Drosophila melanogaster: one gene and its partner. Changing the gene in region 2 together with the main gene of any one other region gives a genetic interaction. Each region holds a gene or a part of one and is shown on either strand. Other genes may lie near its edges. The genes, in order: Chrac-16 and Acf.

Region 1 (3,625 bases), on a different chromosome or scaffold from region 2:
TGACTATGATTTCGAGACCGGCGTGGCTAGCAATCCCAAGGTTATATTCAATCTGCGCAAGAATAGTCCCAAGGATCATCTGCTGCCCGATGGCCTGACCATCGATACCGAGGGCAACCTGTATGTGGCCACCTTCAATGGCGCCACCATCTACAAGGTTAATCCCAAGTGAGTAGTTCACTCTAACATTCGTGATCGAGTGTTAAATGTCGTACTTCATTGCAGCACTGGCAAGATTCTGCTTGAGATCAAGTTCCCAACCAAACAGATTACCTCCGCCGCCTTCGGTGGCCCCAACTTGGACATCCTGTACGTGACCACTGCCGCCAAGTTCGATCAGCCCGCTCCAGCTGGCACCACCTACAAGGTGACCGGACTGAACGCCACCGGCTATCCCGGCGTCAACCTGAAGGTCTAGGAGCTGCAATCTCTATCTATCCTTAGCCGCAGTAAAATGTACCAATCGAATCCAAGTGCAATTATATGTTATGCTCTTTAACGTTTTAAATCGCGTCTATCAATGTTTTGCATGCTAGTTAGGTTATCCTTTTTTGCAGTTCTAGTTCAAGGTCAGCTTAAGGATCACATTCTCTCCTGGGAATATCCAGGATCATCATGTAAACTCACAAAGAGGTTGACTATGCTCTACTTTACTCTGATTTCAAACAACAATCTTATCAGCCGCAGACACACGGTAATCATCCGCGGATCTTATGGTCATTTGGAGGACGCAGTGCTCTTATGCTTCTTTATTAATCAGTGGTTCTATAAACAATTTTATACTTATCGTCTAGTCTAAAATTAAAGATAGCAAGGTGGCGTAAAAAATCAGTCGATGTTTTGGTGAATGGAGATCATCCACTCAATTTCGGTGTAGATAAACATCTGCATGACCGTCTATTCATCAGACTCCGATTCCGATTCGGACTCTTCTTCATCGTCATCATCGTCGTCGTCATCGTCGTCGTCGCTGCCGGCGGAGCGATTTAGCCGCAGCATCTCCTGGAACTGGTGTACACGGATCTTTTGCGGCACGATCTGCAGCAGAAACTCCAGATTCTTGTTCTTATTGACCACCTGGGAGAGATGCTCGTACTTGAGCGCTTCGCCCGGTCGCTGGCCGAATTCCTCCGTGTATGCCGCGCCCGCCAAATGGCGAACGAATAGCTCCGTGCACTTGGTCATCAGGAAGAGCACCTCGTTGGTGATCAAGCCCGTGTCCATGGAGCTCTTCATGATCGTTCGCACGCGGCTGAGGGGCAGAAAGGTTTCCGCGGTCGGTGGACGCTCCACGGGTGGTTGGCTCCTTGGTTCGCCCATTTGTTTACTTAATTCCCAAGCAAACTATGGCTTGGGAATTTTTTTGGTTTTAGAGCTGGGCTCACAAGTGGAGCTGTGAAACTATCGATGTTACAATCGAGGCATGAAATTCGTACCTTTCTGAGACACTATCGATTCTTTTTTTTTATTTGCTATCGATGGTTATGGTTTATGAAGACTTAAAATAAGTAACCGCAGGGCTTCCCTTAAAACGAACAATGCTGGCATACTTCTATTTTTGCAAGGAATTGGATGTGCACAATAATATATGTGTTACTTTCTCAGAATTAAGTTATAGCGCTAAATATATAAAAATTGAGAAACCCATTCGGATTTGCCTATACTTTCAGCTCTAGCTGGAGCGGGAATTTAACCAAATAACGTTGCGCCGATATGCTATCGGTAGCCACAACAAGTATTTAATAAAAGTTTTCCAAATATTTCAATTTATTAGTGGAAAAACCGCTCTAAGCAAATACCTTTAACTTAATCAAGAGATTAGGGGTAAAACGATTAGGATCTGCACGATTTATAAGGAAACATTCAATTGCAACAACATTTAGACAAGTCAATATTATCTACTTTTGTCTTTTCAGTATGCAATCAACTTTGGATTTTCACACTTATAGCTTAAAAATCTGTCTTCATTTTCGAACTCACATATAAATAAATATCAATAAATTATTATTGCACTTGATTTGTTTGCAGCAACGTTGCCAGACTTCCGTAATCGATGACTATCGAACCTATCGCTGCGCGGCATGTGCAACACTGCGTTTTCTGCTGCCCCCTTTTGGCTGTTGTTTCGTGTGTTGACCAATAAATTTTTCGCGTACTTTTCCAACTTTTCAATTACCGAACCGCAATTGCCGCCAAAATAGATAGCCGATAGCTAGTCGAGCGAGTAACCAGCGAGTTTTTGGCCAATTCACGCGACGATCAGGGGCAGTGGAAGCAGGAGCAGGATCTCGACCAGATCGCCAGGAAGCGACATTTCCATTAGAGCGGTTCAAGTGAAAGCGAGTGAGCTGCACGGCACGAGAGAACGAGACAGACAGACGGCGAGAGTGAGAGCGAGCGAGAGAGCTAGTTAAATCCTTTCGAGAATTCCAGGAATTCAAGCATCCAAAACAGCTGCTGCTGCCGCAAAATCATCAACATCATCACCATCGCTGTTTGTGAAACGTTGTTCAAGCAACGGCGTGCCAACAAACCAGTATCGACATTTAGATCTAGATTCGAATCCCCTATCCACATAGCTTGTGGGTGCACTTTTCCAGTTGGCCAATCTCAACCAGCAATTAAAAATGGCCGCTGCCGCTGCGAGCGCAGTGAATGCAGTGAACGACTGCTTCAGCATCGGATCCACAGTCGTCTGTACGACCTGTTTCAACGAGGAGGTGGAGGGCGAGGTGCTGGCCTTCGATCACAACACAAAGATGCTTATCCTGAGTATCCTTTTGCAACGAAATCCCCGAAATGCATACCCACACACACACACAACTTGCCCGCCGGGTGAAAGCGAGCACTTTCTCCGGCTGTCCACAGGGATCTCTTGAGCTGTCTGGACAAAAAGTCACACTGTCCTTTAGATTCGTATATAATTCTAATTCACACTCATCTTAACTGATAGCATTCACATATCACCTATCTCTTATCAAACCCATTGTTTACTGCTTGACAATTTGGTTCTCCGTACATCGTATATCTTTGCCCCCCGTTCCTGCTCTTCTCTTCCCTTTCCAACCGCATAGAATGCCGATCCAAGTCCACGGAGGAGCTGAGTGATATCTACGCGATGAACCTCTCGCTCTGCAGCAACGTGCAGGTGATCAAGGAGTGCAACGGCAACTTTGATGATCCGCAAAAGCTTAATCTGGAACAGGTAAGCATGCCAGCTCTGACCACTTACATAAATATATATATATATATATATATATTGCTTATACAGGTCAAAATGCGTCTGAGGAAAACAGTTGAGCGAAGACAGGACTACTTGAAGTCTAAGAATGCTGATGTCAGTCCAGAGGCGCAGGAACTCTATAGAGCGATAGCCAAACAATACGGGGTAATGACCTCTTGCACGATGCCCTATCATCATTAACCATTGCTATTTCTTTTACTATTTTGTAGTACAATGAAGTCTCCTGGCAAGGACTTAACATACAGATCCTAAATGAAGTCACCATCTCGCCGCCGTACCGAGTGGACAACGTGGTGTCCAGCTCGAACAACGAAACTTCATGCAACTACATCAAGCGCATCGTAAGCAATTGCCCAACCGCAGCACCTTCAAGCAAACTGT
Region 2 (8,033 bases):
TAATGTTAGTGTCCAGACCAGATATCTAAAATTGGTTTACCTTTAGGGAAATGTCTTAAAGGTACAAATTTTTAATGTTCTCACATGATATTCACCCAGGCGGGCAACCAATGAGTTAAGCGCTTGTGTGCGGTTTTCGCCCCAAACGACTAGCTTGGCAATCATGGGGTCGTAGTGCACAGACACCTCATCTCCTTCTCGGACACCCGTCTCCACGCGAACGTTGTTTGATGGTTGGGGAGTAGACAAATATCGCAGGGGTCCGGCTCCGGGCAGAAAGCCTCCGCGAGGATTTTCTGCATAAATGCGAGCTTCAAATGCGTGGCCACGCCGCGTAATCTCAGATTGCTTCAGGGGTAATGGCTCACCGGCGGCAATGCGAATCTGCCATTCAACCAAATCGGTGCCCGTAATCATTTCCGTTATAGGATGCTCCACCTGCAGGCGGGTATTCATTTCCATGAAGTGGAAAGAGAGATCTTCTTTGTCTAGAATGAACTCCACGGTGCCAGCTCCTACGTAGCCCACAGCTTTCGCTGCACGAACAGCAGCCTCGCCCAGCTCACGACGCAAATCTTCCGACAAACCTGGCTGTTGTATAAATGAGCATTATTTTTAAAATAGCCGAAGCTCTTGTGCACTTACAGCTGGCGCCTCTTCAATAATCTTTTGATGACGTCTTTGCACGGAGCAATCTCTTTCCCACAGATAGACAGCATCACCATACTGATCCGCAAATACTTGAACCTCTACGTGGCGTGGAGATCGGACGTACCGCTCCAGAAGCACAGAGCTGTCGCCAAACGACTTCTCGGACTCGGTGCGAGCTGAGTTCAGAGCGGTGAGGAAGTCGTCCGGTTTTTCTGCGATTCTCATGCCTTTGCCTCCGCCGCCGCGGACGGCTTTAATCATCAAGGGAAAGCCAATTTTGTCGGCTTCTCGCTGCAAACACTCATCTGACTGATCATCGCCATGGTATCCATTGATGATCGGCACCCCAGCAGCGGCCATTATGGCCTTGCTGGTGCTCTTAATCCCCATGTCCCGGATGGCGGAACTGGGCGGACCCATGAAGATGATGCCCTCACGCTGGCACAACTCGGCAAACTCGACGGACTCGGAGAGGAAGCCGTAGCCTGGGTGGATGGCCTGGGCGCCCGAACGCTTGGCTATGTCCAGGATGCGTTCACCGCGAAGATAGGAAGCCGAGGAGGCAGCTTCCCCCACGCGGTACGACTCGTCTGCCAACTGCGTGTGCATGCTCTTCTCGTCCGGATCCGAGAACACGGCCACGGTACGAACTCCCAGCTTGCGTGCGGTTCGAATCACCCTGCATGCGATCTCACCACGATTTGAAATAAGGATCTTGCTGATAGGCCGAACTTTTGGGCTGGCTTCTGTTGCAAAGCACCTGCGTCAAGCCAAAACAAATTAGCAAGGTTTATGTAATCGTCAAGAACGAAATTAAGTCTTTTGATTTAGCGGCCTTAACAAAGAACTGCCGATCATTTCCCTCACCTGGCGTTTGCGCCGAAGTTTCGCAGCAGTCTGGCGTACATTATTAGTAGAATTAATTGTAAGAATAAATAACAAATATACTTTATTCAGAGCAAGTGTGCGATCGTCGCTTATCACAGCTGGAAAAACGCACACGCACAAGATCGCAATTGAGATGGGCGACTCACGAGATGCATGGTTGAAAATATTAATGTTTCATATATCTTTTGGGGATTATCATATATCATCAATATCTTTTAGGGAAATTGATATTACGTATATTGTGTTTTTTTTAAGTTGCAACCCATAAAAAATATTACCGTTATATTATTCTGGACTATTTATCGAACTGTTGACATCCATCCGACCGCGTCCTTACGGTTTTCTGCGCTCGTGAAGTTCGGTAACATTGTTCGCAGAAACTCGATAACCGATAGTTTAACGTCGAAGAGCGATAGGCCCCAAAATATGCGCGTGAAAATAGATTGTGCGCTATAAAATAAACGGATTTAGGTAGTTGGTGTTGAGGAAGCCAGCCACAAACATAGTAGAAATTGTCGGAAAAGTGTCGCCCGCCGACAGCTTGTATAATTGCGTCGGAAGTCAACGCGCGTATCGCTGGAAAACCGTTTGCATCGAAAGCCCCTCCGGAAAGGCGTGAAAAGTTGGGCGCCTTTTGCGCTTGTCGCTTGGCGTTGTAAAATTTATCAGTTGCTCCGCGGTTGTTTTTATTGTGAACTGTTAAACGTGCACTTCGAAGGACTGCCATTTAAACTTAAGGACATTCAAGAGCAAAAGGAAAACACCAAACATGCCCATTTGCAAGCGGGAAGGATTCGACCTGAATCAGAAGGAGGGCAAGAACGAAACATTCCACGACAACGACCAGGTCTTCTGCTGCTACATCACTAAGCGCATTTTTCGCGACTATGAGTAAGTGCATCCTGCTACCATTCCTGCAACTGCCCCTTCCCTTCTCCTGCCATTAGGTGGACGCTGCGCTAAAGTATACAACAAAAGCGACGCTGCAAAAGCATTTGCACACGATGTACCGTACATCACCATTCAGTGTGTGTGTGTGTGTGTTCGCAGGGGTGCATAAGTGTGCGAGTCTCGTGGGCCAAAGGCGAAAAAAACGCTGTTCGGTGGCGGGAAGAAATTACAGCTGCCGCCGCACAGCTGCTCGCCGCGGAGTTGCCACCTGGTGCCAAAGCGCGCGCTCTTGAATTTGGAATTTGTTGACCCAATTCGACTTATATGATCCTTCTAGATATTTTTAAGATCAGCAATTATTTAAGAGGCTGGGTAGCGCGAAACTATTTTAATAAATAGCAAACATACTAAATATGTTTTACTCTGACAAGCTTCAATTATATCAAAATAAATTGACCTTAAAACGCTGATCGATTAAATTTATTTATCCAGACACTACTTCCGGCACGTGATGGTGATCAACTCAACGGTGTGGCAGTGCGAGGCCACCGGCAAGGAGAACCTCACCTACGAGGAGGCGGTCAAAAGTGAGCGGGCGGCTCGCAAGAAGATGGAGCAGTTCAAACAGAGCCTTCGGGCACCCGTCCTTCTGGTTGTGGAGCACGCCCAACAGTCGGCGGTCAACACCTTGAACATGATAGTGGCCAAGTTTCTGCGCAAGCGCTACTTTATCGGCGAGGAGGTGTCGGTGCAAGCTAAGAAGAACGCCACGTACACGGTGTTGGGTGTCAAGTTGGACAAAAATATGCCGGAACCACTCAATGGTATCTATGAGGACACGGACAACCTGGTCTACAGACTACGACCAAACAAGGGCGATCCCAGTGCAGAGCTTGATCTGCCCTTTAGGCAATTACGTCGCTCGCGCATGGAGTTTAACCTGGAAAACCTGAGTATGTTTATAAAGAGCAATGTATCGCGGGTGGATGGACTTCTTCGACCCAAGCCAGAGGCATACAAGCAGTACGTGACGGACCCTGGCGTAAACTTCTCCACAATTTTCATTGGCAAAATGCCACGTTATTCTCCCGCTAAGATTAAAAAACCTGACGGCAAGAAGCAATCCACTCTCAACAAATATATTGTCGCCGGTGAAGCAACGGCTGCAAAGTCAAAGGCGAAGGCCAAGTCTGATGCTAAATCTCTGGCAGAGGAATTGGAGCGGGTTAAGCGAGAAAAAGAGGCCAAGCTTATTGAGTTGGAAAAACAAAAGGCGGAAAAGAAGGCACAGTTGATTGAACGCGTTGAAAACGAATGTAATTTACTGCTTCAAAAGACGGACGACCTGGAGAGAACCGACCAAAAAGTCCTGCCCCGCTACAGACAGATCGTCACATTGCTGCCTGAGCACCTCCTGGGTGATGCCTTCATGATGCGCGAGTTTATGCACACTTACACAGGATTGCTGTCCGGCATCGAGGTGTTCCGTCAGAACCTCAGTTTCTACGAGATGACACGTGCACTGACTGCTCGTGAGATTGCGGGCCCACTATCGGACATCCTCCTCGTTCTGCTTGGCACTGTTTTCGATCTGCAAAAAGAAGAGGAGGAGGAATGCGCAGTGACCTACCTCGATCGGGCTGCACAAACTCAGGAGCCCTATTGGAGTATGGCGCAGGCCGCCAAAAGTCACCTTTACGCCAAGAGGCACTTTTCCTTTAAGGTCAATACTTTGTTTGTGCCGACGTGTGTTATCTAAACTAATTTTATTTTCCCAATAGGTAAATGAACTACCATTAGATGCACTGACTCTCAGTGAAGTGCTACGACTGCATCTACTTGGATCCGGAGCTTTTGTAAATGAAAAGGCGGAGCGCTGGAGAGTCATGTACCGGAATGGCTACTCGTCAAAAGAAGACCCTGGTCTGGAACTACGTCTGGAACACTCGCACATCCTGCGCATTCTCAAAAATCATTCCGTATATCAGCTAAAGTTTAAGGATATAATGCTCCTGATTCGCTGCCTGATGTCCCAAATTATGACATACTCGGGCACGATTAACTTGATTGAGGAGCGTATGGAGCAAACAGCAAAGGCCAGGCAAGATCTACGAGCTCTAGTTGTCGGGGAAAATAAGAGATTAGCCGCCGTAGAGATAAACAGGAAAAAACTCACGCAAATGCACCACCTGGAGGTAAATGGCGTTGAGCCTGAAAAGAGGGAAGCGTTGGTCGAGAAATTAAAGAAGAGTATTGCCGAGCTACACGCCCAATCGGATCAGCAACATCGCAAGCACGAGTTGCAGATGCTTAAGTTGCATTCGCAGCTTTTCAATTTTTTGGTTTACTTGGGCATGGATAGGTGCTACAGGAAATATTACGTTTTGGAGTCTATGCCTGGGATCTTTGTCGAGCATTCGCCGGACAGCCTTGACACTTGTTTGGAGCAACCAATAACAAATAAGTCCCAAATAGAAATTCGTCAGCAGTCTGCATTGCCAAAGAATCGCAAGGACCTAAGGGTATATCTACTCAAACTCTACGGAGACGACGAAAAGAAAACTAAGAAAAAGGCCAAGCACTCTCTAGAGAACAAGGAGAACCAAGAGCATCGCCTTAACGGCAGTGCAGAACCCATGGATGTCGAATCTGATTCTCCAGAGGCTCCCACTCATTTTGAGCTCTTGATGTGCAGTGGTGACAAACGATCTTGTATTGTGCATGATTCAAGAAATGGGCAACGGCAGCGTTGGGCATATATTTACAAAGCCGAGGAGATCGATGAATTAATTAAGGCTCTCAATCCCAATGGTCTCCGTGAATATGAACTCCTTCAAGAGCTATCCGTTCTGCGTTCCTTAATCGAACAGCATGCTAAGACCTGCCCAGTAGACTTGCTAAGTCTAGAAAACGAAACAATGCGCAAGAAGTTTATGGCGGCGATGGAATCTGAAACTAACCGTAAATACGGAGAAGCAAACTTTGGGTTACCGAATGGGACCGATCTAAACGAAGTGATGCGCTTGCATTTAGTGGATCGAATTATTCAATTTGAAAATGATATTTACACTGGTGATCTCGGCCGCCTGAAAGTTAAGGATATGGAAAAGTGGCGAAGTGACTTGCTTGGAGGCAATTACGACGCTCAGTGCAAGTTGCAGTGGGGCCCGGGTGGCAAGTTGGAAGATGAAGCTGGTTCTGACAACGAATCCCACGAAACTCACGAGGAGGACGATGGCGCACTATTAGGTAAATATGCCAGGAAACCATATCGCGATCCTGGCATGTATTTGGCAGCTTCTGCAGACACAAAACCCCTACCAGACAGCGACGATGAGGAGGATCAGCATACGAATGCCGTCTCGATTCCTATCGCCGTGCATAACATGGCCTCGGCCCTTCTGCAAGTGGAGCAGGCTATTGGAAAACGGTTTCTGAAGGAACCCTACGGCATGAAGAAGTGGGACCCCAAGCAGGAGGCTTTAAAACTTGCCTGCGACTCGCGTTTGCACCAGTGGGAAGTTTCGCTAATGGAAAGTACAAGCTTTGCTCAAGTCTTTCTGCACCTAAACATCTTGCACGACTGTATTCAGTGGAGGCGTTCCACCAATAAGTCATTATGCAAGGTCTGCAGGCGTGGCAGCGATCCGGAGAAGATGCTGCTGTGCGATGAATGCAACGCTGGCACTCACATGTTCTGCCTGAAGCCTAAGCTGAGGTCTGTACCCCCGGGCAACTGGTATTGCAATGATTGCGTAAAGAGTCTGGGTCTCAGCAATGGTCAAAACGAAAAGGATAAAAAGCAGGCGACAAAGAAGAAACGCAAGTTTATCGTAGAAGAGGAGGATGATGAAGCTACAGACGAAGAAGAGGAAGAGAAAAAGGATGACGATATGACCGATGAGGATGCGGAGCACGAGAACGAAAAACACGATGAGGACGTTGAGGACGACGAAAGTGTGACCTCTACCCCCTCATCTTCCAGAGTCAATGGGCGAATTTTAAGGCGACCCCGCACACGGCCAACAAGCAGAAGACTTACTTCGAAAGAGATCGAAGAACATGCTCAGGAAGACGTTGACAGCGGAGACGTCAGCGATGACGCATCCTTAACCGCCGGTGAAGATACGATCGAAGACGAGTCGTAAGTTAAAAACTGGATTGAAAATTAAATTTAGATAATGAACCCATTGCAATCCACAGAGATGAGGAAAAGGTGTGTCAGAAGTGTTTCTACGATGGCGGTGAAATCAAATGTGTGCAATGCAGGCTATTCTTTCACCTGGAATGTGTTCACCTCAAGCGACCGCCTCGCACAGATTTCGTTTGTAAAACCTGCAAGCCGATGCCACAACGACCTAGGCGCCGGCACAGTAACAGTAAGTCCACAAATTTCTCCTTAATGAATAGCTCACTAATAGCCCGTGTGATTTCTGTCCAACAAGTGAATGGTGATCATGACCGCGATGAGGAGGAGCCAAAAGCAAAGCGACCACGTAACTCTTTGCGCCTATCTATCGACAAGACCGCCCGCCCAAGCAACGGCAACAACAACAACAATAATAACAACAGCAGCGTCAATAACAACAACCATCGCAGAAGCGGGCGTCGGACGAACGAGCACATGCCGTTGAACAGTGCCGCCTTGTACGATCTGCTTGAGCAGATCATGAAGCACAAGGCCGCTTGGCCGTTTCTGCGACCAGTGCTGACATCGGAGGTTCCCGACTACCATCAGATCATCAAAACGCCCATGGATCTAGCTAAAATCAAATCCAAGCTAAACATGGGCGCCTACCAGCTAAACGAGGAGCTGCTCAGCGACATTCAGTTGGTGTTTAGAAACTGCGATTTGTACAACGTAGAAGGCAACGAAATATACGAGTGAGTAGATTGGGATAATCCGTAAGTGGTCTTGTTGTTTATCCTTTATCTTGAATCCGTTGCAGCGCTGGTTGTCAACTAGAACGATTCGTGATCGATCGATGTAGGGACATGCAGCTACCGTTTAGGCCTAGCGATATGAACGGGGAAGTCAAAGCTTGCTGAGCCGGACGCTGATCTCCACCAGCTATCGTGTAAATTAGTTAGTCTACTCTAAGCCGTAGTTGAAAACCATATATATTTAAGCACAAATATTAAGTGTATTTAAAGATCTTTATTTTCGTGCATGTCAGTTCTAAGTTCAGCACACGCATATGCAAAAAATCCTTATCTGTTGGTTTATGAGACTTTATGTATTTATAAATTATTGTAGACACTACGAAAATTCCACAATCAATAAATGAAGTGACCGGAAACAAACGATTCAAAATAAATAAGTAAAAAAAATTGTTTTGTTGGAGGTGTAAAAAGCTAAAATTAAATGAATACAAATTTTAAAAGAGCTTAGCTCTGTATAAACGCAGGAAAAATGGGTAGATGGAGTTTGCCAGTTTTTAAAACAGACGATTTGATCGCAAAAAAAAAAATATTGCTTAAAGAACCTAATTTGCCAAATTCTTTCTTAATCGAGAAAAAAGTGTTGGATGCTGCATTGTTATTATTACTTTTTATGAAATCTAAGCTATGTGTGTTTCACTGGACATTAAAAGTAAGAGTGA

Evidence for each region.
Region 1: of Acf (region 2) and Chrac-16, changing one enhances a phenotype caused by changing the other (phenotypic enhancement), as found in Drosophila melanogaster (one study listed by BioGRID).

What each region holds. Positions count from the first base shown.
Region 1 is NC_004354.4:12,016,554-12,020,178, forward strand, and holds Chrac-16 (chromatin accessibility complex 16kD protein), read right to left. Parts: upstream 1,409-3,625; 5' UTR 1,321-1,408; coding exon 898-1,320; 3' UTR 672-897; downstream 1-671. Other genes in the region: regucalcin, read left to right, coding at 1-168, 226-418; Lsm12a (LSM12 homolog a), read left to right, coding at 2,628-2,772, 3,075-3,205, 3,272-3,388, 3,454-3,585. UniProt on the Drosophila melanogaster protein: Histone-like protein which promotes nucleosome sliding of ATP-dependent nucleosome remodeling complexes. Part of the chromatin-accessibility complex (CHRAC) which uses energy/ATP to increase the general accessibility of DNA in chromatin.
Region 2 is NT_033777.3:31,792,060-31,800,092, forward strand, and holds Acf (ATP-dependent chromatin assembly factor large subunit), read left to right. Parts: upstream 1-1,921; 5' UTR 1,922-2,308; coding exon 2,309-2,430; intron 2,431-2,922; coding exon 2,923-4,153; intron 4,154-4,211; coding exon 4,212-6,574; intron 6,575-6,633; coding exon 6,634-6,809; intron 6,810-6,875; coding exon 6,876-7,314; intron 7,315-7,379; coding exon 7,380-7,479; 3' UTR 7,480-7,740; downstream 7,741-8,033. Other genes in the region: Mccc1 (Methylcrotonoyl-CoA carboxylase 1), read right to left, coding at 1-25, 85-591, 646-1,411, 1,519-1,559.